Linked DNA regions of Mus musculus. The protein of the gene in region 2 interacts with the protein of the main gene of each other region in a pairwise test. Links are inferred from orthologs where the notes say so. Each region holds a gene or a part of one and is shown on either strand. Other genes may lie near its edges. The genes, in order: Cirbp, Atxn1, Pim2, Otx2, Supt20, Sf1 and Rbfox1.

Region 1 (4,241 bases), on a different chromosome or scaffold from region 2:
GGAGCTAGACTTACCATAACTGTCATAGCTGTCTCTGTAGGACCCTCCCGAGCTCCGATAACCATAGCTGCCACCCTGACTCCGGCTGTGGAAGGACACACATGGACACCCAGGCTCAGCCCCGTACCAGGTATAGTTGGCAAGAGTTGGTTCTCAGTAGAGAACAAAACCAAACCACCTACACTAGTCTGCCCTTCCCCTGGTGCACCCTCCTCCCAGGCCCAGCTGCCACCACCGAGGCTGAGCCTCCCCAAGGCTCCCATCTGGCTCACCTGGCATAGTAGTCTCTGGAGCCTCCATAACCCCCACTCCGGGACTCAAAGCGGCCACCTCCATAGCCCCGGTCTCCTCCTCCTGTAGATGATCGAGAACAGAGTCAGGGAGTCCCTACTCCTGCTGCAGTGCCACCACCAGCTGCCAAGGCACCCCAGCACTCACCTCTGGAGAACCCTCGGCCCCGGCTTCGTCCCCCACGGAAAAAGCCCCGGCCTCCAGCAGAGCCACCCCGGTATCCTCGGGACCGGTTGTCAGAAGACTTGCCAGCCTGGTCAACTCTGATCTGCCGCCCGTCCACAGACTGCAGGAGAAAGTTAGGGTCACTGTACCCGATTCCACACCAGACCTATCCAAGGTAAATTGGCTGACCTGATCCTCACCTTCCCATTCATAGCCATCATGGCGTCCTTAGCGTCATCGATATTTTCAAAGGTGACAAACCCAAAGCCTCGGGATCGCTGGGTCTCCCTGTCCTTTACCACCACCACTGCAGGAGAGAGACATTAGATGTGCCCAGTCAGCCCTCTGCCCCCCACCCCCACCCCCAAGTAGAAGCCGAGAACAATGATCCTGACCCAAGACTCACCTTCGGAGATCTGCCCATACTTGGAGAAGACCTGCTCCAGCGCCTGCTCGTTGGTGTCGAAGCTGAGTCCTCCCACGAAAAGCTTGCCTTCATCTGATGCCATGGCAGCCTATGCACACACCATAGATGTTTGCCTTAACCACCACCCCTTCCAGAAACTGAAGCCAAATAGCATATTTAAGAATATGCTTTTCAAAAAAAAAAAAAAAAAAAAAAAAAGAGTAACATATTTTATGTGCACTGGTGTTTTGTCTCCATATATGTCTCTGATGCTGTCAGATCTTGGGAGTTAGTTATGAGGTGCCATGTGGGTGTTGGGAATTGAACCTGGGTCTTCTGGCAGGCAGGCAGTGCTCTCAACCCCTGAGCCAACTCTTCAGCCCCCCACATTCTTTGCCTTTAAAAAATTGAGACAGTGTCTCCTTTTATAGTCCAGGATGGCCTTGGAACACCTGTAAGGATAAGTCACTGAAAGCTTTAAGGAGTTAAAGCTGCCTCTTCCCATCCCTTACCTACATATGTATGTATGTATGTATGTATGTATGTATGTATGTATGTATGTATATAAATAAAAGTAACCCACAGCTGGACATGGTGGTATATGCCTTTGATCCCAACACTTGGGAGACAGAGGCAGGCAGATTTCTGTGAGTTTTGAGGCCAGCCTGGTCTGCAAAGAGAGTCCAGGATAACCAGGAGTACACAAAGAAACTGGGGGGGGGGGGCTAGGGGGGAAGCATGGGGGTGGGGGGAGAGGACCCCATGGTCTTACTGGGAAACCTCAGCTTCAAGTGGGGTTTCTTTCACACCTCTCATCCAGCCATTCAAGTCACCGAGATGGGAAGATCAATGAGAAAAAGGACACTGTGGATCAGTTTGAGAGACTGTTTCAAAACAAATACCCATCTCGCCTAGCCTGTGGGAGTTGGAGGCAAAGGAACAGAATCCAAAACCAAATACAATTGCACAGCAAGTTCAATACCCTTCTGGGCTACACAAGAGGGAACTCTTTTTGCTTTTATCATCCCAAAGGCATATGGAATACTTTGTCATACAGCTGAGGCTAACCTTAAATGATTCTAGGTCTTGATTACACCTGGCCAGAGAATCCCAAGGTTAGGATCAAAATGGCATGGTCACTTTGCAAATGTGTGTGGTTGGGGACAGAAATGATAGTGACTGCCTACCCTCACTAGCATAGAGTTGTTGGGCCAGAGAAACTTCACTACTGAAATACGCTTTTAGGGTACTGTCTGGAGGTGTGCCAGTTGTGGGATGCCTCGCTTACTCAGCCAAGGACTAGAGAAATGTTTTTGCACGATGGACTCAAGGGAGAAAGGAGGTTGGCCCAAGAGGCGTGGCTAGCGAAAGGGGCGTGGTATCTAGACAAAGTCATTATTGGCAACCGACAACTTGGAAAATAAGTCCACTATACCACGAAACCAGTCTACCTTGGGGGCAATAAACTTGGGGCACAAAAGGACAACATTCAAGCCTACATGTGCTTTTTTGTTCCCCACGTGGAACCACAAGGGAAGAGAAAACCGAGGTAGAGCCAGCTGGAGTAAAAGGGTCGCACGCGACACAGCTCCACATCTGCGGACAACCGGACTTTGGAGGTAGGAGCGCCCCGCCCCCGGAGCAGCGCATGCGCCAAGCGCGCACCCTGCGCCATTCCATCCGGGCACTCGGCAGTCCCGCCATTTCGCCGGCGAAGCTTTTCAAAGCATCGCGGCGGCCATTTTACAAAAAAAAAAAAAAAAAAAAAAGCCCACCGTTAAGGTCGGCCTCGGCCCGGGGATGACGCGCGGTGGAGGACGCCCTCCGACAAGCGTGAGGCCCCAGTGTCCCGCTGCCCGCCTCGCCGCCGGCGGGGCGGACTCCAACCCGGGCCCGCCCCCAAGTCCCAGGGGCGTGCCGCTGCGGCTCCGCCTCGCCCGAGAGTCACAGGCCGCCCGCCGCCCCGGGCCCCTCAGAGCCGGTGCCGCCAGAGCCCTCACCGCTGAGTCGGGCAGGTCCCTGACGCGAGCGGGAAGACAGCGCGCCACACACACCCAAGCTTCCTAAGGCGCGAGTGCGAGGGGGAGCGCAAGAGTCCCGCCTGATATACTCCACTCCTGGAGCCACGCCCCTTAACCCGCCCACCACGCCGCGCTGACCAATCCGACGCCTTAGATTCGGCATCTGCGCCTCGGTGGAGGGGCGGGACTCCGTTGGCTTTGCCCTAGTCCGCGCGGAGGCGCTGAGTGTTTTGATTGGCTGGAATCTTTCCTGGCCGCATTTTTCCCCCCCACCCCCCGCCCGCTAGCGACTAGGAGGCGGGGACAGCTGATTTGGAGGCGGAGCTGACCCACTTCCGCGTTCCCGACCCGTTTGTCCTGCGGCGGGGAACAAAGAGCTTTTGCTACCTCAATGAGACTCCCAAATATGGCTCCAACCTTGACTCATCGACTCAACACTTTTATGTTCTTTTTTTTCTTTTAATATTTAATTACAGTTATTTAACTGAGGCGCATTTGTGAAGCCAGAAGACAGATGGAGTCTCTCCTTCCATCATGTAGGTCCTAAGGATCATACTCAGGATTAGCCACAAGCAGCTTTATCCACTGAGTCATCTTGCTTGCCCCTCTTCTCCGTTCTTGCTCATGAAACCAAAACCACCGAATTACTCTAGTCCAAAAGTACCTCCCAATACAACTGCTGCCTAACAGTTCTTTGGACCCCAAGGACACTCCATAAGATCAGCCCTAAAATTTCCATCCCAGTATTAATCACAATGTCAAGATTTTCTCTAGATTTCCTGCACCCAACTCAGTTTTCCTACAAATCTCAACCTGCTGTATAACGACCATTTGAACCCTGATTTCTGCCCATCTCCAACCAGGTGTACATTACCACACAGATGGCAAAACACCACTCTTTTCAATGTGTACCTGCATTTTCTAGAAGAGACCCCAGAGTCTCAAGCATGCCATGGAAGGATTTCTATCCTTGAGCCACACCCCTAACCCCTCACTGCAGAATTCTAAGTAGTGGCTAAACCAAGCTACATCCTTAGCCTTCTTAAACACACACACCACAGAGAACAAAACAAAAAAGTGTATTTTAATTTTATGTATATGGGTGTTTGCCTGAATGTCTATGCAGCACTTGCCTATCTTGCGCTGACAAAGACCAGAAGAGAGTGCTGGATCCTTTGGATGCAGAGGTCCAGACAGCTGTGAACCTTTATGTGGATTCTGAGAATTGAACCCACGTCCTCTGCAAGAGCCCTTTACCACTAGGCCATTTGATCCTTTGAGACAACCTACATTTTTCAATCTATCCTTGAAATCCGTAGGCTCACATCCCAAGTAGCTGTGATAACAGACCCATGTCT
Region 2 (4,296 bases):
GATCTAATTACATGAGTGATCAGGGCTGGAGTAAGTGTACAGAAAACTAACACCACAGACAGTATCTATGATGAGAGAGGCAGACAGGCAGGAGGCTTCTCAGCCTCAGCTTTATGTGGAAGGTGGCGTTCAAGCCAATTTATTTGCAAAGCTGCTAAAATATTGACTGATGCGTGGCCAGTTAGAGGACAATCAGAGGAGATTAAATGCCACAGCTAAGCTGTTATGGTGCAATCCCTTTCCAAGAGTTCTTGCGCATGTTTTTTCTTCTCTCTGGTGGCTACCTCTAGCTTCCCCTGGCATAAGCTTCATTCAAAAATAAAATAAAAATAAAAACCCTCGGCTATCAAACTGTCTTAGCTACCCACCCACCATCAGTAAACCAGAGGGTAGGCTTAACCCAGGCTTCTAGGAATGGCAGGGCTCTTCATAAAGCTGGACACGGTTTAGCAAACACTATTGCAAAAAAGTAACCAGCTGCGCCTAAAAATACCCAGCATGTAACTACCTTGTTGCCTACGATCTATAGCAGTGCTGTTTAAATATTAAGAAGAGCTCGCATTATAAAACAGAAATGTCACTGAGATGACACTACTAGGTTGCTACAGGGAAACATAGGGCATACACACATTCCCCTGCATACCAGGCAGAATGTGAGGTGAGAACTCTAAAGCATTACTTTTTATTCTGTAGGTGGTGTGGGGTCTTCTAATTTTACTAATTGTATCCTGTGGCTCTCTCTCTGACAAACTAAGAAACCTCTTCGGGGACAGAACCAGTTTGGAGGAGTTCCTACTGCACAACATACGGTAAACAAAATAAAAATAGCTTGCCTTTCTTGTTAGCCACATAGCGCATTATATAACCAGCTTCCGACTGGCTTCTTTTTTTTTTTTTCCGCCCTTACTACTCTTCAGCAATTTCCCAACCTTCCCCAAGTATTTATATTGCCCTCTTATCTGTAGGATTATACAGCAAGAAAGCAAAACAAAACAGGACAGCCACGGGATCGAACTAAACCCCATCCTCTTACCCCTGATCCTCCCCCCACCCCACCCCCCGCGCCCCTGGCAGAGTCTAGATACAGCACCCTACTTCCACCCCCCACCACTAAGGTCCTTGCTCAATCTCCCTAGAAAACCTGAATTGTTTCACCTCTTGCAGTCAGCTCTCTACGTGGTCTGAAATAAAATGAAAGCGCACAAGCCACAGAGTTGAAGGAGGCGGCTCAAGAGAGGTCGAAGCGCTGCAGAGTCAACCAAGGGACCACCGTGGACCCCCACCCCCACTCCCCGCTCCCCATCGCGATGGTCCTGGTCCCCGCCCGGCGCGCGAACACACGCACACACGCACCTACACACTCACACGCACTTACTCCCTCCTCTCCGACCCCGCCTCACCTCTCGCTCCGCCCGTCCGGCCCCTTCCCTGCCCCCTGCGGGACCGGCCTGCGCGCTCGGCTGCAACCACGTAGGAGGCGGCGGCGGTGGCGGCGGCAGCCCTGGCAGTGGCAGTGGCGGCGACTCGGGCCCCGAGTGAACGAGCCGCGGGGCTCCGGGGCACATCCCAATCCCCGCAGCGCCTCCTCCGCCGCCACCTCCTCCTTCCCCTCCTCCCGTCTTCATTCACCCTCTCTGCCGCCGCGCAGCAGAGCAGTCCCGGCGCAGGGCAGCGCCCGCAGCTCCTCCGCTACTGCTGCGGGCGCCGGCAGAGTCGCCGGGCCGGGCTGGGGCGCTCGCGGGCTCCCGGCTCCAGCTCCGGCGGTGGCGGCGGCGTCTGCTGCTGCTGCTCTGGATCAGGAAGCGGCCGCACCAACAGGGCGGCGGTGGCAGCTGCAGCTAGGGCCGGTCTTCTCCCGCTGCGCTGCGATGGCCCGCGCGCCCTTGCCTCCTGAGGCGCCACCTCTCCGCGCCCCTAGCCTCACGCAAAGTCCCCTCTTGGTCCCCTCGTAGCCCCGAGAGGCTGGCCTAGGCGGGGAGACCCCAAGCTCGGGGTTGCCTCTGTCAAGCTAGGCGACCCCGGGCGGGGAAGCCCAGCCCTCCCTCGAGCCCCCGCAGCGCTCACCGCCCCCACCCGGGAGGGGGGACTGGAGAGGAGCGAAGAGGGCAGCGCGACCCTCCGCGGCTGCCGCCTCCCCCTGCGCCACACGGAAGGAGGAGGACCGGGCTCTATCCGCTCGCCGCCGCCGGACCGGCAGCAGCCGAAACGGGGCGCCGCCGTTCTCCCCACCCGCGCCCCCCGCCCGGGCGCGCCCCCTCTCCTGGCGGCCGCCCACCCAGCCCCTATCTGCTGCCCTTGCTAGCCGCTCCTGCTCCCAGAGGGGGTCCCGAGCCGGGAGGCTGGAGCCGGGCACTAGTGTATGTACACACAGTCACACATACACTCGCGCGCGCGCCTGCACACACACACACACACACACACACACACACACCACGACGCGTCGGTTTCCTTCGCTCCTCTTCCAGCTGTTTTCCGTGCAGCCCATTGAGACTGGGGGAGGGGGGGTGTATGCTGGATGTTCTTTGGCCCCTCTCCGGAGAGAGCAGATTGGGGTGCGGGAGGGGGTGATTTTAATCTAAATCGGGGTGGAAGGGGGAGGGGGAGAGAAAGAATCAGAGGAGGAAAAAAAATAGCCACTTACTGTAAAGTGTAAATGGATCTGGGGTTGCGTGGGGAAGGGGTAACAGAGGGAGAGACACAGTGTCCTGCGGCTGCTGTAGCTCTAGCTGCGGCTCCACAGGGCTTGTTTTGGATCCCCCTGCAGTGAAACAGGTCCTGTACGGCTCCTCCACTGTAGTAGAAATGATGTCTGCGGTATACTCTGCTCTCTCCTCCTCCTCCTCCTCCTCCCCCCTCCCCTCCCTCCTCCCTCCGCCCGCCCTCCCTCCCTCGCGCTCTCTCTCGCGCTCGCTCGCTCGCTCCAGTATGTAAATGTGTAATAGAAGCCAAATATGGAGCAGTTGGCTGCCGCCGCCGCAGCTCAAGGATCCGACTTCATGGGGGGGGAGGGGGGGGGGAGGCACCCTCTGGCAGGCGGCCCGGCGAGCCGCACAGAGCACGGCGAGCGCACGGCGCGGCTGCCGGCCCGCGCCCTTAACCCTTCTATGCACCCGGGCTGGAGCGGCGCTCGCTCCAGGGGAGGCCGGGTTGTCTCTCCGCAACTGTGGCTCCGGATCCCCGACACCGACCGGAGGGGACTGTGCCTTCCAGGTTTGAGAAAGGGGCGGGGAAGTTGGGGCGATGAGGTCATTGGAGTGGTGACCGATCGGTGCTCGCGCGCCTCCCCGGCTCCCTGCAACCTAGTTGGAGGGGGACAGGGTGAGTGCAGGGTGCAACTCAGGCAACCTGGGAGACTCGCAGCGACGGGTGTCAGGATTTGGCTCCTACTTGGTAAAATACCCAAGGGGGCGGGGAAGTCGGCTGATTTCTAATTACGAAGTGCCCTTGGTGCCCCCCGGGTGAGCATCTAAAGAGGACTCATTGTATCCTTACTGTTAACCCTCCAACCCGCCAGCCCTGCGTCATCCGAGGCAAGGCCCGCGCCTGCTGCCTTGGCTTGCAACTCGGGAAAGTTCTCAGGCTTCCCCAGCTTGCACTGGCACCCTCACCTTTCCTGCCTGGACAAGCTGGCGACCTCCCGGTCCTCCTTTCAAATTCTGCTGGTCTCGAAATCTGCTGTGGGCATGGAACGCCTCAGCTCTAGCTAGCCCTGGTAACCGACCTCACTCACTCCTCAGGGCTAACTGTGGATCATTCATTTCATCGCAAGCGAGGTAACCTGTGCACTGAGCAGTCAGTCGATGGTGGTTCTCGGGGAAACCAAGCGAAGGAACGCTCCCCCACCCACCTTGTCCCGGTGGCTAAACGCAGACGTGGACTCCCCACCCGGCCCCCTCCGGCTACACCTCAGCCAAGCGTAAGCTCGAGGGAAGAACTCTTCTCTGGAGGCGTTCACCTTGCCAACAGGTGTGGCACCCGAAAGAAGAGCCATCACATCCCCACGAGGGTCGCTCAGTGCCGCGTTCTCTTTGCAGCAGAAAATTCTTGAAGACCAGTAGGTGTCAGGCCAGCATCTGACCTCTTTCAGGTGCTTAGAACTGAGAGTCTGGAAACTCGATCCCTTGGTCTCGCTGGAAGCCACTACTATTTATTGACTCTAAGCCGGATTTGAGAGACCTTTTGGCTCCGTTTACGTATGACCCAACAATTAGTCACTGTCTGAAGCAGCGTACAGAATCACCAAGAGAAACGTGTGCGCGTTTAAACTACTGTATTGTGGAGCCGGCACTTCAGAAG
Region 3 (4,195 bases), on a different chromosome or scaffold from region 2:
GCTTTTGTTGATTTGCTTATCTATGTGGTGATTTAGAGCCCAAGGATGACTACGTACCTGCTTTGGAGCAGTGCGTGTATGTGTGGAACAACTGTATATTCTTGTGACAGACTCTGGGTCTCTCATTTCTGGGGCAGCACAAATATTTCTGTGAATGTACATATCTGGTGGTGCTTGTGTGCTTGTGACAAATCTGTCAATTTCTGGTGGGGGCATATGGTATTAAGTGACCCCCGTAGGACAGTACAAGTCATATCACTGAATGTTTCTTTTCGGAACACATTTTCATGTACACCTAGGTTAGGACAAGTCTACTTGAATGTGTCTGACTATATCTTTAATGGTGGTTCTCCCGTTCTTGGTGTACGTGTGGGTATGTGAGTTCCACACACGATTGGAGGTCAGAAAGCAACTTATAGAAGTCATTTCTCCCTTTTCACCATGTGAGTCCTGAGGTCAGCAGCCTTACCTGAAGACCTTTTGCTTTTAAGACAGTCTCACTATGTTGCCCAGTCTGACCTCGCTTTCAGTTCCCAGCTCCTTTTTTACAAGGAAGTTGTAGTTCCCACAAGAACTAAGTCCTGCCATTATAGATTCAAGACCCAGACTGAGTAACAGAGCCAAGTCTAGCCAGGTTTGTATAGGATAATGGCAGCAAAAAAGCACCCTACAGGTGCCAAACTGCCATTGTTTCCTCTGCATCCCTTCCTTTTGATGACGGTAAAGAATTTTACCCTTCCCTGAAGAGTGGACCAGCTCTCCTATAAGATTACAGTTTTGGAGCAAAGGCTGCCTGATCTTGGGTGAAACACACGTGACAGGATCCTGTCTAGTTCCAGGCTCTGATTTTTAAAAGCTGGTTTGTCGTTGTCTCCTTACTGAACTCAAGGCAGCAAAGGTGATGGCGGCAGCAAACCTGCATCCTAGGAAAGGAGGCTGCGCTTTTTAAAAGTGTGTACACACCCCACCACACCAACAACCAAAACAAACGCAGTTGTCGCAAAGGAATTCCCAGAAGCGTGCATGTCTGTGTGTCCGTCTGTCTATGTGTGTGCGCGCACGCGCGCGCACCCTCCTACATTTGCATACAGGCCCTTCCTCCGCGGAAGAACCTGGCATGTATTTTGCATAAGGGGCACTTGAAACGTTGAGGGTGGCATGCAAATAAGGACTGGCTCGGATTGGCTGGGGTACAGCAGGTGCCGCGTCCGGATTGATCAAAGCCAGGTGGGCGGGTCTGTCGCGCAGGGCGACTCTCCCGGGAGGCGCGTGCCCCGGCTCAGTAGCGTTGGGGCTGGCGCGCGCGACGAATCTTAACGCTGCGCCGTCTGCAGGCGCTTCCGGGCCGCCAGATTCCCTGCCTTCCACCCTGGCGCCCCCCAGCCCTGGCTCTCCGGCCGCTCTGCCCCGGGCATCCACGCCCTGCGGGCTCAGCGGATTCAGCGGGCTCAATATACGCAGCACCTCCTCCATGTTGACCAAGCCTCTGCAGGGGCATCCTTCGCCCCCTGTGACCCCCACGCAGCCTCCAGGTGAGCGTAGCCTCCTCTGTCACAAGCAGGTTGGGTGGACTGGAATGATGGGTGCTGGTGTGGGGGCGAGTCATGGCTGGGATCAGAGTACACCGCCACCCTGACTTCCTCGCCTCCGCTTGCGTAGGAGGCAAGGATCGGGCAGCTTTCGAGGCCGAATACCGACTTGGCCCCCTCCTGGGTAAGGGAGGCTTTGGCACCGTCTTCGCGGGACACCGCGTCACGGATAGACGTCAGGTATCCCCTACAAGGGGTTCTCGGAGGGTCAGGTGTTTTGGCGAAGGGTGGTGGTGGGGTACCAGTGACTGGGATGCCAGTTGCTTCAGTGGGGAGCCTGCGTCTGCAAATGTGTAGTAGAATCATAAGGAGCAGGGTTGCTAGGAGTGTGAGTGCGCGCGTGTGTCTGCAGTCCAGGTGGGTATGGGGGTGGGCAGGATTCAGGGCAAGAATTCTAGAAGATTGGCGCTTTCTACTAGGGAGGGGGCAGATATCAGGACTGGACCCCAAGATCCATGGAATTGATGTGCGTGCGCTTGTGTGTCTGAGATGGTGGGGATGTTTTAAAAGTAGGTGTTAAGTGTGGAGTCGTGAGAACAACAATCCAGATAGAGTTGTCCTGGAGATGAGGATGATGGAGGAGGGCATGCGACGTCAAAAAAAAAAAAAAAAACAAACAAAACAAAACAAAAAGACTTGGAATTCGAATCTGGGGATATGGGTCAGTGGTAGATTATTTGTCCACCATTCACAAGCACTGAGTTCAATAACCAACATCGTGGCGGGGGGAGGGGGGAGGCATGTAGAAAGACAGTGCGAGAGAAAAAGCAAAAGGAAAAAAAAAAACTACAACTCACTCCCGTTCTGGATTTCAGGGGGTCTTGATGCTTTCTTAACGAGAGCCCAGGCGTAAATATGTTTAGGTGAACTTGCTTCTGAGGACTTAAATGCTGGGTGGGCATCTGAGCTCCGATGGATGTGATATGTATGGGAACTAGGAATACCCGGGTGGAGAGACTGGAATTGGGAAGTCTGGGATCACCTGCTGCCCCCTTATCTCAGCCTTTTTTCTAGGTGGCCATCAAAGTAATCTCCCGGAACCGTGTGCTAGGCTGGTCCACCGTGGTGAGTGTCTTTGGTGTACGTCATGACCCATAGACTCCATCACAGAACGCACGCACTGCTTTTTTTCTAGGGGACATATGACTCCCTGGGCCCTGAAACCATGAGAACCCCACCAGCCTGTGATTCCTGCCTTCATGTGATAGTTCTGATTTCACCACAATTCCCCCAGAGCCCTGGATTCTCCTTTCAAACTCTCCTTTCTCATCCTTCTTCCAAACACTGCTTTTGGGGCTGTTCACAGGACATGCTGGTGGGGAAGGAGGGGCCTAGGTCACTGGTTGTCATGGTGATGCTGGCTGCTTCTCTTCTGCCACCCGGAGAACGCTAACGGACATCAGGGCGGGTCTGGGCAAATTGTAGGTAAGAGAGCTCCCCCTGGTGAACCCTTTAGGTAGTCTGTGCCGGCCCGTGGACTTGGGGGGGGGGTTTGGGGGTGAGCCTGCGCAGTAGCCGATTTTGCGTCTTCGTGAGAAAACCTGTCTGCGGCTGTGCAAGTTACTGGGTCTGTAAAGGACCCCATCTGAGGCAACTGGACTCTTGGCAGTCGCTGCCCGTTCGGGTCTGGGGCAGGGGCCTTTGACTTGTGCTGGTTGATAAGCAAGACTGACAAGACAGCATTCATTAAATGTTTACTCTGTGCCAGGTCCTTTGCAATTAATCAGTGTAAGTCGTTTTGGACAAATGAAAGCTGGGATTGGTGGTGCGCACCTGTGATCCCAACGTTCAAGAGGCTGGGTCTCTAGGATTTCAGTGAATTTGAGGCTGGCTTGGGTGGGCTACTTGGCAAAATTCTGTCTCAAACATGAGATAGAAATTTAAAAACCAGAGGACACTTCTGCCGTGGTTTAATTTATAGGCACTTTGCAAAATACGACATCATTTCTTAGAATGCATTATATGCTACATCCCTTCTACTGACTGCTCTTTCTGTCTTAACATCCTGAGTTTTGCTGTTACTAAGGATCCTTGAGGTATGCTAGTGAAGAAAACTAACCAACACTTATACAATAATAGTATTTATTAATAGTATTAATTTAATAGGATTTAGTTCCATGCTAGTCCCTCTTTGCTGTAAAGTACTTCCATTTACAAATACTTATTGAGTATCTAGTGTGCATAAAAGCTGTCCTGATGTGGATCTTGATGAACATCTTGTTTACCTATCTTAGGTAAAATTATGAAGAGGGACTTATATTATAAAACACTTTGAAGTCCAGGCATGGTGGGGCACACTTTCATCCTCTGGGGGTAGAGTCAGGTGAATCTCTTATTCCAGTCCAGCCTGGTCTATGTAGGGATCCTGTCTCAAACTCCCTCCCCTTCAAAACAGATGAGAACACTTCAATTTCTCCAAGTATTTACTGACCTACTGCATGCCAGACGTGTATGGTCTCTGTTCGTTTCACTCTCTGAAGGACTTGAACCTTTAAAGAGGGTACTAGGGTCTAGGAAGAGGAGCCCAACCGAAATTAGTGCTTTGAAAATAAACTTTGCTATGTTGAAGGCAGGGCTACAGACTTTTAACACTTGCCTCCTTCTTC
Region 4 (3,675 bases), on a different chromosome or scaffold from region 2:
TGAGCCGTTTTGACTCTCCAAGAAGGACCTCGCCCCGAACTTTCTGTTACTGCTTTTTATCCTGGAACATGCCGCTTTTATCAAATGATCTGTTTAGGCGATCTAATTGGGTGAGAGCTAGACTAGTAAATAAATACATGCCCATCTTAACATCATATATAACAGGTCAGAACTGTCCAAGGGAATAAGAGTGTATTTTCAAAGAATTCCTCTTTAGAGGGTATTTAAATAAGGAACGACTGGGTTTTTAAAGAATCTTACGTTCACAGTTACAAATAGCTAGATCTTGGAAGAAGGAACACAGAATATAAAGTGTTCTTCGCAAAAGTAACTAGTTTCACTCGTTAACAATCCAGTTCTCTTAGAAGGACATTTATAAAAATCACATTTTAGGGTGGGGAAATAAGACTTGTGTTCTGAATGTAAATCTGGAAGAAATCACAGCTGTTGAGTTTTGTTTGTGAAGCTTTGCCTTTGTCTCTTAAGCAAGGTAAATATGAAAACCTAAGGTCTTAATTTTTTCATTAATGAACTTTATGAAGTGACAGAGAACTCAGTCTTGTATCCGCCATTTTGAGGAAGTTTCTCAGAGTGTCAAAGTTTCAAAGCAGAGAGAGAGAGAGAGAGAGAGAGAGAGAGAGAGAGAGAGAGAGAGAGAGAGAGAGAGCGCTTTAAGTGCCTTATTTTTGGAAAATAAAAGCCAGCCTTACACACATTGCCTGCCTGTATTAACATCGATGGGGGGAGGGGTTCAGCAAAGGAACACAGATGACTTTTCTTTTTCTCCCCCCACCCAGCTCCTTTTCTTACAAAATTGTAGGAAATTTAAAAAGCAGAGAGAAGTGCGGTTAGTTCCATTGCTTTGGATGTTTATTGACTTCAAACCTAAATATATGGGAAAGGTGGCTCCCGTTGCAGCCCCCTCTCCCCCCAACCCAAAATCCAAGAAAAAGTGTTTCCCGCTGGATCTGTAGCCTCCTGACATAAAAAACATGGAAGCGGCTTGCTGTAGGAATGCACCCCTCTGGACTTGCAAAATGTGGGGGCAGCAGTTTATCTGACTTTACTTCAGTTAGGATTCTAACTTAAGCATTTCTGTCAAGCCCTGTGCTAGTCTTGAAGAAAAGACTTTTTTTTTTCCCTCTCAGTATGTTTAAATTAAATATTTGATGGGTGTCGCTTAAAAGTTAAATAGTTGTTTGTTTAGCTATAGTTCTTTAGACACATGTAATCAAACTCCTCCAAAACCCTAATAAATCTGTTACTTACTTCGAAATCTAATTATCCAGACTACTAATTAGGTGAAAATGATTACTGGAAATGACTTCAAATGTGGGATAATAGTGATTGGGCAGTTTTCACAAGTTTGTTGTTCAGCAAGTTGGTGTTTTAAATGTTGAATGCGTTTACATTTTAGGTTCACAGCAGTTGAAAGTGGTAATAATTTAAAAAAAAATCAGCTAAGATAATTAAAATCTCTGCCAGGGAAAGGCAACAGTCTGGGAAGAGGTAGATTTCTTGAATTGTTTCTTTGTTTCTCACCAATGGGCTTTGTTATCAGCATTATTTATTTAGCCAAAGAGTTCTTTGTCTCTGCAAATGGCCCCAATCAAGTTTTGTTTGAGACAATTAGCTAGTGCCAGCCAATGAGTCCTATGCAAATGTTGGGTTAGGAATGTAGAGCGTGCATTTGGAGGCGTGGGGTTTTGTTCTTGGGGAAGGCAGATTGTAATTGCTTTCCTCGGGTCGGTTTTCTTTCTTTCTTTTTTTAAGTTTAGGGTGGGGGTGGGGAAGACAGGTTTATCTGGTCTCACTCCATCCCCTCTAGTTTTGGAGCTGCTGGGGGGTGGGGGGGACGGCGGGGGTGGGGGACGCATCTGCAACTCCTTTAAAAGCCTGTGCCCAGCGTCTCCCGGGTTCTTTTTAGTTAGTGCTGGAACGTGGAGGAAGCTGCTCCCTCCGAAGCAGTAAACCAGCATTTCTGTTTGTTTGTTTGCTTTGCCCTTAGTTCCGTCACTCCAAATCTACCCACCAAGGACCCTGACCCTGTCCACTCCAGGCGAATCGAGACCGTCCGGCTGGGTCCCCCCAATTTGGGCCGACTTTGCGCCTCCAAACAACCTTAGCATGATGTCTTATCTAAAGCAACCGCCTTACGCAGTCAATGGGCTGAGTCTGACCACTTCGGGTATGGACTTGCTGCATCCCTCCGTGGGCTACCCCGGTAAGTGAGTCCGCGGCCTTCTAGACGCCCTTCCACACGCCCGCCCCTCTGGAGCTCCGAGGTTGGAGGGCGCGCTGTCCTCACTCAAGCTCAAGGCGGGGTTCCCGATGTATTTTCCTTGCTACCAAACTGCCGAGTGCCACAGAGCATTTACTGACCCAAGAGGGAACAAGAGGCTGGGAAGAGGCGAATCTGGGGTCTGCAGAAGTAACAGAGAATCACACCGCTCCATTCTTAACTCGAGTGGCTTGGCGACATTCATTGGGCTAGGTCGTGGAAGGTTGTTGACCTTGTCACTTGAGCACGCTCTTGCGTACGTTTCCACGTCCAATTCCTAGCTATTACTTCCCTGGGAGCAACCGAATTCTCTCCCCTACTGTCCCTTCCAGTTTTCCCTGGCCAGGGGCTTCCAGGGGTTTCCGGTACGTCGATGCCCTGTCCCTTTAATCCTTAGAGGTGTGGCTTCCCTCCAGGTGCCAGACAATTTTCTTTTCTAGTCAGATTCCTCCCTCCCCCCAACCAAAAACTCATAAAAGTATGAACTATGTCCCATTTTAAAGATAAAAGAACAAACGTCCCTGTGGTGTTAAAATACCGTGGGAACTGGCTCGGCGTTCGCTGCGTCATTCTGAACCTTTGGTCCTCATAGAGCCTTTAACTTTACTAGTCAGCCTTTTCTGGTGATGTGTGTGATCTAGAGGTTGTTATTTGCTTGTTCGTTTCCAGAACTGGGCGTGGGGATGGGAATTGTGGCTCCTTGTTTTATTTTGTTAGTTCCTCAAGTAATTTGTAGCTGGCGTCGGGGGGGGGGGGGTTGGAGGGGACCGCATTACACTGGGAGGTCGTGTGTCCTGTGAGGCTCTGGAAGGGGTGGGGATACTGGGTAACGCGGTGAGAGGAGGGAGGTCGGGGAGTCTGAGGACCGAGGCAAAAGTCCTGTGACTGAGAAACTGCTCCCCCACCCTAAAGGGCCCTGGGCTTCTTGTCCTGCAGCCACCCCCCGGAAACAGCGAAGGGAGAGGACGACATTTACTAGGGCACAGCTCGACGTTCTGGAAGCTCTGTTTGCCAAGACCCGGTACCCAGACATCTTCATGAGGGAAGAGGTGGCACTGAAAATCAACTTGCCAGAATCCAGGGTGCAGGTAGGGCAGATGTAGACACTTTTCAATCTTGGTTTATACTGATGACCCAATGAGGCCTTGTCCCAGACCAAAGAAGGGCTTGAAATTCTAAACCCTCAGGAGCCAGGGGACTTTTTACTTCCCTTTCTCTTCCTGTTCCTCCTTAATCATATGAACCAGGGTCTTTTAGCCTGGTTTCCAAGGCTGGAAGCAGCACTTCAGCTGCAATGAGAAAGTCTTAGAACCTGTAGGTCGCAAGAGTCCCTACAGTTGGAGATGCAACACAGGGCAGATTTCAAAGGTAGTCATGTGGTCCTTGTGTGGCAA
Region 5 (4,227 bases), on a different chromosome or scaffold from region 2:
ATAAAGTAGTATAGTATCCCTTCTAATTTAGTAAAAAGTAACTGTAATTTGAGTTACCACATTGGATTTGTGAGTCTTGTTATTTAGGTTTAGTGGTCAAAAAAAATCACCTAAATTTTGCTTATACTTCCTCTAGTAACTCAAAGACAGGAATAATATTCTTAAAAAGATACGTTTTTTTTTGGGGGGGGGGTCTGGGGGACTTTTGGGATAGCATTTGAAATGTAAATGAAGAAAATACCTAATTAAAAAAATAAATTTAAAAAAGTTTAAAAAAAAGATGTTTTTGGCTTGGCTTTTAAAAACTAGTACTGGACTGGAGAGATGGCTCAGTGATTAAGAGCACTGACTACTCTTCCAGACATCCTGAGTTCAAATCCCAGCAACCACATGGTGGCTCACAACCACCCATAATGAGATCTGATGCCCTCTTCTGGTGTGTCTGAAGACAGCTACAGTATACTTATATATAATAAATAAATAAATAAATAAAATCTTTTAAAAAAACCTACAGCTACAGTGTACTTATAATAAATAAATAATAAGTAAATAAATAAAATCTTTTTAAAAAACCTAATACTATCAGATAATATTTCTTTAGCCTGTACTGGCTTAAGGAGGTCCTTCCCTCCGAAAAAGTTTTGTATAGGAAATCTGGTTTTCTGTCACTAGAATTTGTACTTTAACAGAGTTGTGTAGTTTCTGTGGCAGTAAGTGCAAATTGATAGGTGAAAAATTGTAAAACAACTTAGTGTCTTCAGAGCAGAGGGTATCATCTTTGGTAGGCAGGAAGGGTTAGAACAGTGGGCTTCCACGGTGGTGTTTCCTTATTTCTGGGTCCCCCACTCTACTCTAGACTTTGACCAGAATCCAGATACTGGGACATGGGCATCCATCCTAAAGCTGGGTAGGTCACTTGGTTTGTAAGGCAGGATGAGACCCCCTGCATTATGGGAAAGATTTTTCAAAGATGTTTCTCCTTTTTTTAAGTAAAAGTATTAGAGAAGTCTGGAAATGTAGCCTGGGGCACTTGGGGGAATAGGAGTTTTCTGGTTTTGCCATCAGTGTGATTAAAAACTGAATTTGAAAGTGACCCCACATAGCTGTCAAAGCCAGTGGTCAGGTTGTAGAATCTGCAGGGAAGGCAGTTTAAAAGTGTTGTTGTAAAAGCCAGTGTTTTCTCAGTGTTGTATTACTTTGGCCTGTGTGAGGTAGTGGTTTGAATTCTCTGACTTTTTTGCCCTACTCCATGAGAGCTGTTTTTCATCTGTTTGTAGGTGGGTTTAATACATTCTCTGGTAGAAGTTTGTTTTAAAGATATGTTAGGAACGTATGTGCCTTGAGTACTTTTCCTGATAATGACAGTCTTTCTTTTTTGCAGTCTTATGCTAACAGTTCCTATTTGTTTTTTCCTGCAGTATAGAAGAAGACATGGTTTCCACCCCACTTCCACAGCACGTCTAAGTTTTATCTTTTTTGGGGTCCTTATCTGTTGCCACAATGGTAAGCTGTGAATATAGCGTGTTAAAATGTGTATCCTATACTATTCTCTTCCTTTAGCTCCATAAAAATATTGTGAATAGAAAGACTCAGATAACTTAGTAGTCATGCCTAACTTTTTTCTAGAAAATGTCTAACTCATATCTTGTCAATTCAGTGGTAGGACATTTAAGTTAGACAAATCCTTCATGTATTAAAAGTCAACTCTGCTTTGCCATTTTTCTGAGTCTTTGATAAGGAGGTTGATATAAATGAAGCTTATTTTGGGGGAGGCCCTCATAATTTAAGTTTCTTCTTCCATCTTTTTTGTCTATGTTTGTTCTGTGCATGTGGCCTATATGTTTGGTAAAGAAGTGATCGCAATGTCGATGTTCCTCCTTTATCCCTGTCCCCCTTTTATTTTGAGACAGTCCATTAGGCCTAGAACTTGCTGAGTAGGCCAGGCTGGCCCCTGAGGTATACGTCCCCCTTATTGGGATCCCTGCTTGTGCCCCACTGTCTTGCTTTCTTGTACAGATTCTGGAGTTTGAACTCAGTTATTCATGATTGTGTGGCAGTCACGTGGACTGAACTATTTCCCCAAACTCCTTCACCTGGGTGCTTTAAAATTAATAAATGTAGGCAGGTTTAGTTTGACACAGATGTAATTCCAGTACTTGGGACACTCAGGTCAAAGGATCCCCAAGAGTTGAAGGCCAGCTTAGGCTAGAAAGAGAGCTCCAGCCAGCATAGGCTACAGAGTTTCTAAACCCTGCCTCTTCTTCCCCCATCCCCCATCCCATCCTCACTTTTGTGCAGATATACCTGCAGTGGAGCCCAGAGGACAAGCTGTTACTACAGTTGAGAGGCAGGTGGGGTGGGGTGGGGTGGGGTTAGAGACAGGCTGTAGAGGACGTGTGTCGTCATCTTCCTGCTCTGTAGGACTTGCCTATTTACTTCTACTTGGTTAGAAATAATGGGAGTTGTCCCTGTGGGATTCTTGCCTTTCATGTATACGTATTAAATGGTATACCTAAGTGCTTGAAGGGAGTAGTGAACACTCAATACGAGCATGTCTAGCTTCCAGGTCCTGACTGCAGTGCCATTTTAGCATTTGTTATGATCAAGTGCCCAGCCATTAAAAAAAAAAAAAACCTTAGTAACGCATTGGAGGATAGAGGAGAGGAAAAACACATTGCTCTTTTTTCAGAAAATGAAACAAACACTTAATAACGAGTGTCAAGTGTTATTTTTTCTGAAAATAATTAATATTGCCAAATCTGCTATTTGCTTTTTCCAGCAACAAGCTGTAGAACAAGCTTTGGATTGCGCAGAGGTGAGCCCTACTGATTAAATGTTGAAATACTGGGGTTTGTAACTGACAGAAAGTCCTTAATAGGACATTTTGATAACCCTCAAGAGAACAGTATTTTAAACCAGACCACAGAATTTGTAAAGTTGTTTTTCTATCTTGATGAGTTTCTCTAAAATACCTTAAAATATGGGTCACTGCACTCAAATGTGTAATTTTAAAATAAATTTAAAACTTTTAGAATATATTTGTCCTGTGGAATTGCATTTTATGGTACTAAAACACTGGGCTGGGTCTTGGGCTCTATGGCCTGTGTACAAGCGTGAGCTCAGGCTTGTCAGAGCCTAGGAGACTGAGTGGGCTGCTCTCACTGTCCTGCTGCGGGCTTGCAGCTCGCTTGCACTCACTCGTAGGAAAGCGGAAGGCAAGCCCTTTGACCAACTTCTCTGTTTCAGTACATCGTGGAAAGTGCTCAGCAGAGACCTCCTAAAAGGAAATACCTGTCTAGTGGAAGGTATGACTGCTTAATCGGTAACGCCCAAGTCAGTGAAATAGGATAACTACCACTTACTGTAGACATTGAAATGTTGTCAGTTCTTTGTATGGGCAGGTTGAGCATCCTTGATACTCCACAATATGCAGCTTAGGAATCTTGATGGAGTGTCACAAATGGGCATTTTCTTTTCTTTTTAAAAAATTTTTTAATTTTTCATTTATTTCTTACACTCCATATTCCATTCCCCACCCCCTCCATCCACCCTCCGACTGGACTGCTCTACATCCCACACCTCCTCCCCACCCCATGCCTTCTCCACATGGATGCCCCCACCCCCTACCCTACCTGACCTCTAAACTTCCTGGGGCCTCCAGTCCCTTGAGGGTTAGGTGCATCATCTGAATGAACACAGACCTGGAAGTCCTCTACTGTGTATGTGTTGGGGGCCTCATATCAGCTGGTGTGTGCTGCCTGTTTGGTGGTCCAGTGTTTGAAAGATCTCGGGGGTCCAGATTAATTGAGACTGTTGGTTCTCCTTCAAGATCGCCCTTCTCCTCATCTTGTTTCAGCCTTCCCTAATTCAACAACGGGGGTCAGCTGCTTCTGTCCATTGGTTGGGTGCAAATATCTGTATCTGACTCTTTCAGCTGCTTGTTGGGTGTTTCAGAGGATAGATCCCTTTTTGTGAGCACTCCATAGCCTTAGTAATAGTGTCAGGCCTTGAGCTGGATCCCACTTTGGGCTTGTTGCTGGACCTTCTTTTCCTCAGGCTCCTCTCCATTTCCATCCCTGTAATTCTTTCAGACAGGAACAATTATGGGTCAGAGATGTAACTGTGGGATGGCAACCCCATCCCTCTCTTGATGTCCTGTCTTCCTGCTGGAGGTGGGCTTTATAAGTTTCCTCTCCTTACTATTGGGCATTTCATCTAAGGTCCCTC
Region 6 (4,289 bases), on a different chromosome or scaffold from region 2:
AAGACCTCCAGACTCAGAGCACCTTAGCCTTGAAGCTGTCTGAGAAGGACACAGCTCAATGGACCCAACGAGGTTTCTGCCCCAAAGAGGATGTTTACTTGGTTAGTTGAAAATGTTTATCAAGTGCACTTTTTGAGACAGCAGGACAGATATAAAACTTCCATTTATTATGACCTTGGATTTTAAGTAATTTTGAGGTTTAATTCTACTGTGGACAGTAACCTAATTTTTTAAATTCTGCCACCACTTCATTTCAAATCAAACAGTAAACCCTTCCCAGCAGAGTCCTTTAGTGGTAAATTACAAGAGCCTGTTTTAAGACAGCTCTCTAAAGATGGAACAAGAAAGGATACTGAAGGGAAGGATTAAATTCAACAAAATGGGTAAACTATAAATGCTTTCCGAGCCACTTTTTGCTTAAACTATTTTGTACCTATAAAAAAACGAAACCACAATTTTAGGGAAAGGGAACCATGACATTATGGTGAAAGGCCATGCTACAAAAAAGCAACTGGTTTACAATACCTGCAGTGTTCTCCACTGGGGCCTGTCCAGAGAGGAAGATAGCATTCACCTCACCAATGAGCAAGAACAGCAGCTGAGAAGGGGGCTGCCGAGCTAAGAGCAGGCCCAAACAAGAAGCTGCAAATGCAGGACTGGCCAAGCAAATCACGGATTACACAGCTATGAAAGCATAGCTCATCACACCTTGTTCCCATGACTAAAATCTTAAGACTTTCAACAGGTTCATCACTCAGAACAATCTGCAGTAACAATCTGAAGATGCACCTGGATGTAGAACGTGTATTTACCTATGTAAGCTCTTTCCTGTTCCCGAGTCAGTCCAGGGGGTATAACTGTAGGCATGCCTGGAATCACTGTCTTCTGCTCCATTGTGTCTTGGTTCCATCGGCTCCTCTTCCTCTTCTTACTTGGGAAGTCTAAAGACAGACAGAGCCCATCAGGCAGAAATATGAACCAGAAGGCAAGCAGTTCATGATAATTAAAACTAAACTGAAATCACCTAAATTTTTAAAAAGAAAGAAATCTCAGAGGTCAGAGAAAACAAGCAGCCATTTTAAAGATCCTCCTGTCAGGAAAGTTAAGGAACAGTTCACATTTAGTTCTTTTAAAACGAAAATACTAGAGAATGTAACAAGGAACACATTTCTTTTGTAGTGTTAACATCAGAGTTTTTGCATATATTGGGTAAGAGCTCTACCACTGATGCATATCTCCAACTCTTTGGATCTTTTGTTTGTTTTTTGAGACAGAAGTCCCTTTAGAGAACCCTGGCAGTCTTAAACTATGTAGACTGGCATCAAACTCAAAGCCCCACCTTCCTCTGCCTCCAGAGTGCTAGGATTAAAAGCATGAACCATCATGCCCTTGCTTCCAAGACTTAATGCACAGAAACCCAGAATCAGAAGTGTACAGATACATATTATCAATTCTGAATGCCTTAAAGGGCAGAAAAGAGGAAACTGGAATGAGGCCCACAAAGCATTGGAACTCAAGCTACAAGAGTACACAACAAATCTCTTGCTACACATTACTGTGGGAAACATGCCATCCTTCAATATGACCATTCTTACTCGTGGAAAGATCAGTTTTCCTGACCAGTGGACACTTGTCATCAGAACTCTGATTTATTACATTCTTCCCTACATTTACCACACAAGGTTTTCTACTTCTCAGATTACAGGCCCAGAGAAAAAGCCTTTTAAAACAGCACGGGGAAAGCTGGTCACTCTGAGAACCTTCTAGAAAACAAAAGGAGAAAACCTTTAATAAATGATCGAACTCAAGCATCCCTAGTAGCCTTCCGAACTCGCCTCACTGTGAAAGGAGACACTCCTGCCACGGGGCTGCTAAAAACCATCAAGGGAGCCACTCACACCACGTCGTCCCGTGGACCTGACTCTCCTGTCCTCCATAGCAGGAGCTCAGGGGGCAACAGGTGGCTTCTTCCAAAACTACCACAATTGCGCCACAAAGCCTGAACGCCTCACTGCGTCTGCGCGAAGAACGCTTCCTCCCGCCCTTCTGGTTCTCGCGGTGCGCGTGCGCAATCGAAGCCTCCCAAACCAGGCCGCGCGTTCCCCGTGGCGCGTCCGCCCGGGCCTCCCGTGCGCGCGCGCGCGTCCTCGCCGCGTCCAACCGCGGTGGCGTTGCCCCTCCGTCGGCCGGTTCGGTTCGCCCGACGACTCTCGCGCTCTATCGGCCCGACTCACCTCCGCCGCCACCGGGCTGGCCCGGCTGCTGGTCCTGGCGCGGAGGCGACCCTCGCTGAAAAGAGCGGCGGCGGCGCGGGGGCGGCTGCTATGGCGGGTACGAGGCCGGGGGCGGCGGCGGTGACGGCACCGCCGCTAAGGACAAGGCCGTGGTTAGGGCCCCCGGCAGCGGCGTCCCGAGCGCCAATAGGCTGGGCTTGAAGCTGCCTCTGGGCCCAGGAAGTGGGGAAAGGCCTGGTAGGCCCAGCTTACCCAGCGGCGTGGCGTTCGCTCCGGTCGCCATGGCGCCCCAGGGGACCGGCAGCAGCGGTTCCTCGTCCTCCGCGGCGACTTCTCCTTCACGAACCTTCCGGGAGCTGGAGGTGGGGGGGAGGGGACCCGACTACGCGGCTGAAGAGCGCGGGGAGCCCGTCCTCTCACGCGGCGGGCGGCGGCGGCGCCAGACGCACAAAGAGGGAGGAGAAAGGACGCCGCGGGGGCGGGCTCGGGGCGGAGGGGCCGCGGCCTGGATTGGGCCGGCCCGAGGTGAGGTCGGAGGCAGCGGCCTCCGATTGGTGGAGCACTGGCTCTTTTCAATATGGGTCGGGATTGGCCGAACCGTTAGGCCCGGCGACGAAATGGCGGCGGGGCCGGGGGAACTGGGAGGTGTCGCAGCGCGCACTCCTTGTTACTGCGCGGACTGAGGCCAGAGTGGCAGGGGAATAGGAGGGGGCAAAGTCTGTGACGTGAGAGAACGGCTAGCTCATTGGCTGAAACCGATGGAGGTAAGCGCCTCGGCGTCGTAGTGCCACACGATTGGCTGAAACGATTCCCCTCCCCCAGGAGCCAGCCGCTCGAGAATGGAGAAAGCCGGGAGGAGAAGCCGGAACCAAGGCGGAGAGCAGGGGTGCGCATGCGTAGGGAGGGCACGCGTGTCCCCGCCCCCTTCCCCAGAGGGGCGGAACGGAGGCCTTAAGTGACGTTAGTCATTGTGCTAGAGGTAACTAGGGACCGCGGCGAAGGGGCGGGCTCGAGCTGACGAACAGGATACGTCGAAGCTGCAGGTAGAGTAGAGAAAGACTTCCTGTTTTCTCTGAAAAATAGTGTTACGAAATGGCTCAAAACTAGGGTAGTTGGTGGGTGTATTTAAAGACTTTATTTCATTCCGGTACAAGGTAGCCAAGTAGCCTGTCACCCGAGAACTTGAAAGGCTGAGACAGGAGAGCTGACATGAGTTTGGGGCTAACCTGGGGTACAGTATATCTGTCTCAAAAAATCCAGGTTCAATGGCACATACTAACTCTTGTAAAGGAAAAGTCAGGCGCTCCAAGTCCTTCTTGGAGAGGGGAGAGAAAGTCATTTCAAAAGTTAGTCTAAAAGTGTGCACTTCCAGGGAAATCTCAATGCGTTGGAAATTTGTTTCGGGTACCTTAAAATTACCCATAAAAATGGTAGGGAACTTGTAAATGAGACTGAGGCCAAACATTCCTTCCCATGAAATAAACATGAGAGTAATGAAACAGGTTAGCACAACATAATAGAACTGGGGATAGATAGGGTTCTCACAGAGAGGTTATTTAGACCCAGTAGGGGAAACAGTGTTTAATATGTAATTAGAGTGGCTAGAGAAATAGCAGATAAGACCAGGCACTGGCTACTCTTCCAGAGTCCCAGGTTGGATTCCTAGAACCTAAATGGTGACTCACAACCATCCGTAACTTCAGTCCCAGGATATCAGAACCCTCTTCTGGCCTCACAGGCACTGCATATATATGGTGCACAGACTTATATGCAGACAAAACACCCATATACATAAGACTAAGTAATCTTTTAAAATGATGTAGAAAAGTAGACATGTAGACAACAGAAGGTTTGGAGTAATCTAGGAATAAAGAGACTACAAAGATAAGAAACTCAAGTATGGTGGATGGTACAAGTCAACAGACTATGACAGGTAGGGAGGAAATGGCCATAGAACAGAGAAAGAGCAAATGTCTGGGCAGAAAATACAATTGAGTGGTAGAACCTAGCACATGTAACTCCCAGATTACATCAGCAGACATGTGAAAGTAGAAA
Region 7 (4,324 bases), on a different chromosome or scaffold from region 2:
GATTCCACGCCATGGAATCCCATTGGAACTGAGCTTTCCAAGGAAAGCGGCTCCAGTTCCTGCTTTGCATTCTTCTCAATGCCTTTCATTTCGGGGGAAGGGGGAGTGGGGTGTCACCTTTGTTTAGTATATTGCAAATTCATGTATCACAGCTGGAAGATACACATACCAGCTATATAAAATCCCTTCACAGATGAAACACAGCACCAGCAAGTCTGCACCTACTCTGTGGCACATTTCTAGATCACATCTCACAGTGCAATGCCAGCTAGACAACTTACCTAGTGATTGTGTGTGTGTGGGGGGGCGGTTTAAACTCAACACTGCTTCCTACTAGCTGCAAAGTGGCTGCCTAGTGTGAGTCTGGATTCCTGTTGGGTACCACTTTGCTTCCTGGGTCTGGGAATTAGCCCCTGCATCCGAGATGTGGAAGAATGGAGCTCAATAACCCACAAAGCTAATTTACTCAGATTTCAGCTATTATTTTGTTACTCATGAATTGCCTTTTCAAACTGAAATTGGGTGAAGAAGGGGTGGAAAGTGAGCCCACTGTTTTGAGACAGTTTCATGTAGCTCAGGCTGGCCTTAAGTTTGCTATACAGCTGAGCTCCCAATTTTTCTATACCAACTTTCTGAGTTCTAGGATTATAGAGGCTATCCACCACATACTGAGTATTCTTAGATAATTTTTGATCAGCTACCCACATGAACCTGCTAGATTTGAGTGTTGTTGTTATGGTTGTTGTTGTTCTTATTTGTTTGGTTGTTTTTGGTTTTGTTCATAACTGTGGCGGAATGGGTATAGGTGTGAAAATGTATGTGCTGTGTTCAAAGGGTGACCTCCAGGTATCTTTCTTTATTGCTTTTTACTTACGCTTTGAGAGAGGGTCTTCCACTAAACCACTGTACATGGAAGTTTCTGTTTGGCTATGCTGGCTCGACAGTTGAGACCCTGCATTCTCCTGTCTCTGTTTTCCCAGTGCTAGGAATGTGTGACACATTGCCTGATTTCTTACATAGGCACTGGAGATCCAAATTCCAGTCCTCAGGCTTATATGGTAGTATACAAACTCACATAACAACCAGTTGCAATTTAGAACTGAAGTCTAGGCTCTGGTGATGATTTTTATGTGGGTAAATGTTTAAGTTCTTTAAGTTGCAACTGATTGTCATGTAAGCTTACACATTTCTATTACTTATTCTCTCTAAAAATCTCATGCAGACCCAGCCCCTTGCAATTTGGCCCAGTTCCTCAGGACAAATGCCTTCTCTTTTCGCCTGATTCCCTGTCACTCCATCTCCCTTGGTCTGAGAACTAAATTAATGAAGAGTATTTGGTTAGTCATGTTGGGCGAGCTGCTCCCAAAATAGCTCCTTCCATTTTGGTAGCTCCGACCGACCCTGCAGCTGCCGCGTCCCTTCCTTGTCTGGGAAGAAAACTTTCACATTAAGAGTTGCTGATGCAGGGTTTTGTTTCCTTTCCCTCTCCGCTGCCTGTGGATGAGCACTTGGCTCCTGACAGAAGTGATTTGGCTCTCGGCTTTGTAGTTGAGAAGAAGTTGGGTCTATAGATTTCTTTCCCCCTCTAACTCTCTATTGATGTGTTCAGCCTTGGAGGGAATAAAGCCTCCATTTAAAGCATGTTGGCGTCGCAAGGAGTCCTTCTGCATTCTTATGGCGTGCCCATGATTGTGCCTGCTGCCCCCTACTTCCCGGGACTGATGCAGGTAATTCATGGCTTTTGCCAGCAAGCAACTTAACTCCAGAATGCTCTAAGTAATAATTGGAATTTTTATGGTTGAGAAAGCAAACACTTTTAATACAGGAAGAGAAAAAAAAGCCCTCGTGTAGTCAAAGGAAAGACAGTAGGAAATCAAAAAGATGGATCACCTTAATCTGGCTATTGACATCTCTCATGGATGAATAAATGGTGTAGTTGAGCTGTATTTGCTTGTATTGATCTGGGTGCTGTTTAACATTCATGCCTTTGCTTCGGGAGGTTGACCAGGGGGCAAAAGATTTGCTCTCTTCCCTAGCTTTCTGAGGGACTGGGTCTCCCAGAGCAGATCATGAGGCTCAGTAACTTATCATGATATGGCTTGCTTAAAGGCTTTAACCCCGGAAACAGAAGGGCAGGAAATACAGAGTGCTGCTGAGGACACCCCACACAGGTTGTTGTTTGCAGAGAAGCTTCCCCTTGCAAATCTGAGAGGCGACCCACAAACAAGAGGGTACACTGAGAATGGTCTCGCTAGGAAGTTCAGAGGTTATTCTGCAAATTCGATGCCAACTGTTTGTATTCTCGGCAGCTGGGGAGAAGTTAGGATGCCTGTTGTTTTGACTGCTAAGGCTATTATTCTGTGTACCGAGAGGTTTGTGTGCTAGCGAGAAATTGGACCTGTTTCTTTGCCTTATTGTACCTCCTTGCTGTCACTCAAACCCACTGCTTCTGGGTGTACGCCTGCAGTTCTCTGGGAAGCCAACATCCACTTGTGATAGAAGTGGGTCATTGTAGGAAGCAAGTGGCTATTTGTTGCTGTTCTTTAGAAATAAGCAACCCTAAGTAATAAATCCTAAATCTCCTTTCTATGGGAAAGGAAAATTAAATATATGCAGTACAACACTTTAGCTTTTTTTCCTGTAGCCCCACTCCCACCCAGCCCTCTCTGAGAGTTCTACAAAACTCTAATTCATTAATGACGACTTCTGTGGAGGATTGAACAAATATTCTTTTTATTCTTTGACTGTGACTGTGACTGTGACCTTCTATTAACTGTCAGAAGCTGGGTGGCAGAATGCACCCAGACGTCAATCCCGATAGCATCAGAACTGCCAATTACCCTAGATGTATGGATACTATTGCTACACTTCTATGTTATAGGTAAATAGACCAGCAGAGAATGGCCCTGGCACCAAGGAAGGGAACTTGTGGCCAGATGGTGACATGAAACTTAGGACTTGAAGGTGAAGCAGAGTAACAGTGCTTTTGGCTTCTGTTGGAAATTTGGGGTGAAGGTCAAAGGCTGGAGTTTTGTCGGCCCCTGTGCTGCCCTATCCGATAAATAATTACAAGCAAATCGCTCATTTCAGTCCGTGCTGATTGATGCTGAAATTGCTTTTGAAAGTTCTCATAAGTTCCTGTTATAGATTAAGTGCTGGTGCAGGAGAATAACGGCACCCACAGAAATGGGTGAATGTAATCAGGTTTAATGGACTCGAGAGCTTGTTGGGAATTAAATAACTATCGATTTGCTGGGATGTTTCTGTCATTACAAAATGCCACTCTGAACGTATTACCCCAATGATAGATGAGAAGACGCTAGAACCAACTGCAAAGCTGGGAAGGCACTATTTCTTCCTCTTTGGCAAAATGTTCAAGAAACATAACTGGTTAGTGTGGAATGGAGCAAGTTATTTTACTTGCAAATGTTAACCTGATCCATTCTCATTTGTTTCCCAAAAGGAAACTTCTGAACTAGTGACCTACAAGTCCTTCTGTGTGTGTCAGTGAGGAGCCTCCGATGAGCTACTGGGACCCACTGCACCCTTCCCCTCTCCTCCACACAGAGCACACTGCAAGGCTGTGCACATGAAGGTGCTAGCCTTCTTGCTGCTTTGTGGAGGCTCAAAGAAACTAAACCCCCTCCCATTGCAGTTTTGTTCTTAAGGAAAGGATGTGGTATGATAGAATAGGTAGGAAATTCTAGTGCCTCTTTACCTTTCAGCTTGCACTTCCTGCCCTAGCTACCTTGGCCCTTAGCTTGAGGAGTTTCACCCCGAGTCAGGAATAAAGGCCCTTTTGCCAGGATTCAGATTTCTTTAGCAACTTAGTGATTCCAGCAAGACAAGAAAATGAAGAGGACTATGGACTCATCTTTGCTAGGATCCCTTGTGCCTGCATAGTTGGGAACAGCATGAATGGTTATGTGCAAGGGCCACTGGCGAGCTGCTTGAGATGCTGTTCACAATTTCACAGTCTTTCTAAACTCAACAGCCAACAGTTCTGTGGCCAAAGATGTTCCTTTTTGAATTGCTGCCTGAGACACTTTTGAAATTCAGGCCAGTGTGGCTTAATTTTTCTGCAGTTAAAGAAAAAATAATTTGCATTTTTTTTAAGTTTTAAGAGAGTACCTGACTCATGCTACAGTCAGTACCTACAGATGTGTCCTTACGTGTCTAGTGAGGTCCCTCTCATGGCCTCTTCTTTAAAGTCAGTCCCATAGTTAACATGGGATTTCCATTCCTACTTTCTGTTTCTCTGGAAAACCAGTGTCACTATATCGTATCCAGGGCACCCTTTATTTTATGGAGTAAACTAAACTTA

What was found.
Region 1: the proteins of Atxn1 (region 2) and Cirbp interact in binary tests that used the Homo sapiens proteins (3 or more experiments, as listed by UniProt). The link is inferred for Mus musculus from reciprocal best matches to the Homo sapiens genes ATXN1 and CIRBP.
Region 3: the proteins of Atxn1 (region 2) and Pim2 interact in binary tests that used the Homo sapiens proteins (3 or more experiments, as listed by UniProt). The link is inferred for Mus musculus from reciprocal best matches to the Homo sapiens genes ATXN1 and PIM2.
Region 4: the proteins of Atxn1 (region 2) and Otx2 interact in binary tests that used the Homo sapiens proteins (3 or more experiments, as listed by UniProt). The link is inferred for Mus musculus from reciprocal best matches to the Homo sapiens genes ATXN1 and OTX2.
Region 5: the proteins of Atxn1 (region 2) and Supt20 interact in binary tests that used the Homo sapiens proteins (3 or more experiments, as listed by UniProt). The link is inferred for Mus musculus from reciprocal best matches to the Homo sapiens genes ATXN1 and SUPT20H.
Region 6: the proteins of Atxn1 (region 2) and Sf1 interact in binary tests that used the Homo sapiens proteins (3 or more experiments, as listed by UniProt). The link is inferred for Mus musculus from reciprocal best matches to the Homo sapiens genes ATXN1 and SF1.
Region 7: the proteins of Atxn1 (region 2) and Rbfox1 interact in binary tests that used the Homo sapiens proteins (3 or more experiments, as listed by UniProt). The link is inferred for Mus musculus from reciprocal best matches to the Homo sapiens genes ATXN1 and RBFOX1.

The regions. Positions count from the first base shown.
Region 1 is NC_000076.6:80,166,538-80,170,778, reverse strand, and holds the start of Cirbp (cold-inducible RNA-binding protein), read right to left. Parts: upstream 2,941-4,241; 5' UTR 2,863-2,940; intron 2,609-2,862; exon of another isoform or gene 2,362-2,608; intron 1,051-2,361; exon of another isoform or gene 972-1,050; 5' UTR 966-971; coding exon 863-965; intron 764-862; coding exon 657-763; intron 578-656; coding exon 439-577; intron 355-438; coding exon 273-354; intron 86-272; coding exon 15-85; coding exon of another isoform or gene 1-14. UniProt on the Homo sapiens protein: Cold-inducible mRNA binding protein that plays a protective role in the genotoxic stress response by stabilizing transcripts of genes involved in cell survival. Acts as a translational activator.
Region 2 is NC_000079.6:45,962,174-45,966,469, forward strand, and holds the start of Atxn1 (ataxin-1), read right to left. Parts: upstream 2,819-4,296; 5' UTR 2,642-2,818; intron 2,453-2,641; exon of another isoform or gene 2,432-2,452; intron 2,212-2,431; exon of another isoform or gene 1,401-2,211; intron 1,265-1,400; exon of another isoform or gene 1,156-1,264; intron 1-1,155. UniProt on the Homo sapiens protein: Chromatin-binding factor that repress Notch signaling in the absence of Notch intracellular domain by acting as a CBF1 corepressor. Binds to the HEY promoter and might assist, along with NCOR2, RBPJ-mediated repression. Binds RNA in vitro.
Region 3 is NC_000086.7:7,877,025-7,881,219, forward strand, and holds the start of Pim2 (serine/threonine-protein kinase pim-2), read left to right. Parts: upstream 1-1,281; 5' UTR 1,282-1,294; coding exon 1,295-1,532; intron 1,533-1,659; coding exon 1,660-1,769; intron 1,770-2,603; coding exon 2,604-2,654; intron 2,655-4,195. UniProt on the Homo sapiens protein: Proto-oncogene with serine/threonine kinase activity involved in cell survival and cell proliferation.
Region 4 is NC_000080.6:48,660,993-48,664,667, reverse strand, and holds part of Otx2 (homeobox protein OTX2), read left to right. Parts: intron 1-1,933; exon of another isoform or gene 1,934-2,008; 5' UTR 2,009-2,127; coding exon 2,128-2,224; intron 2,225-3,193; coding exon of another isoform or gene 3,194-3,217; coding exon 3,218-3,369; intron 3,370-3,675. UniProt on the Homo sapiens protein: Transcription factor probably involved in the development of the brain and the sense organs. Can bind to the bicoid/BCD target sequence (BTS): 5'-TCTAATCCC-3'.
Region 5 is NC_000069.6:54,693,705-54,697,931, forward strand, and holds the start of Supt20 (transcription factor SPT20 homolog), read left to right. Parts: upstream 1-1,418; 5' UTR 1,419-1,500; coding exon 1,501-1,503; intron 1,504-2,779; coding exon 2,780-2,815; intron 2,816-3,246; coding exon 3,247-3,305; intron 3,306-4,227. UniProt on the Homo sapiens protein: Required for MAP kinase p38 (MAPK11, MAPK12, MAPK13 and/or MAPK14) activation during gastrulation.
Region 6 is NC_000085.6:6,362,316-6,366,604, reverse strand, and holds the start of Sf1 (splicing factor 1), read right to left. Parts: upstream 2,916-4,289; 5' UTR 2,518-2,915; coding exon 2,487-2,517; intron 2,086-2,486; exon of another isoform or gene 1,899-2,085; intron 942-1,898; coding exon 813-941; intron 1-812. UniProt on the Homo sapiens protein: Necessary for the ATP-dependent first step of spliceosome assembly. Binds to the intron branch point sequence (BPS) 5'-UACUAAC-3' of the pre-mRNA. May act as transcription repressor.
Region 7 is NC_000082.6:7,068,359-7,072,682, forward strand, and holds the start of Rbfox1 (RNA binding protein fox-1 homolog 1), read left to right. Parts: upstream 1-1,476; 5' UTR 1,477-1,640; coding exon 1,641-1,727; intron 1,728-4,324. UniProt on the Homo sapiens protein: RNA-binding protein that regulates alternative splicing events by binding to 5'-UGCAUGU-3' elements. Regulates alternative splicing of tissue-specific exons and of differentially spliced exons during erythropoiesis.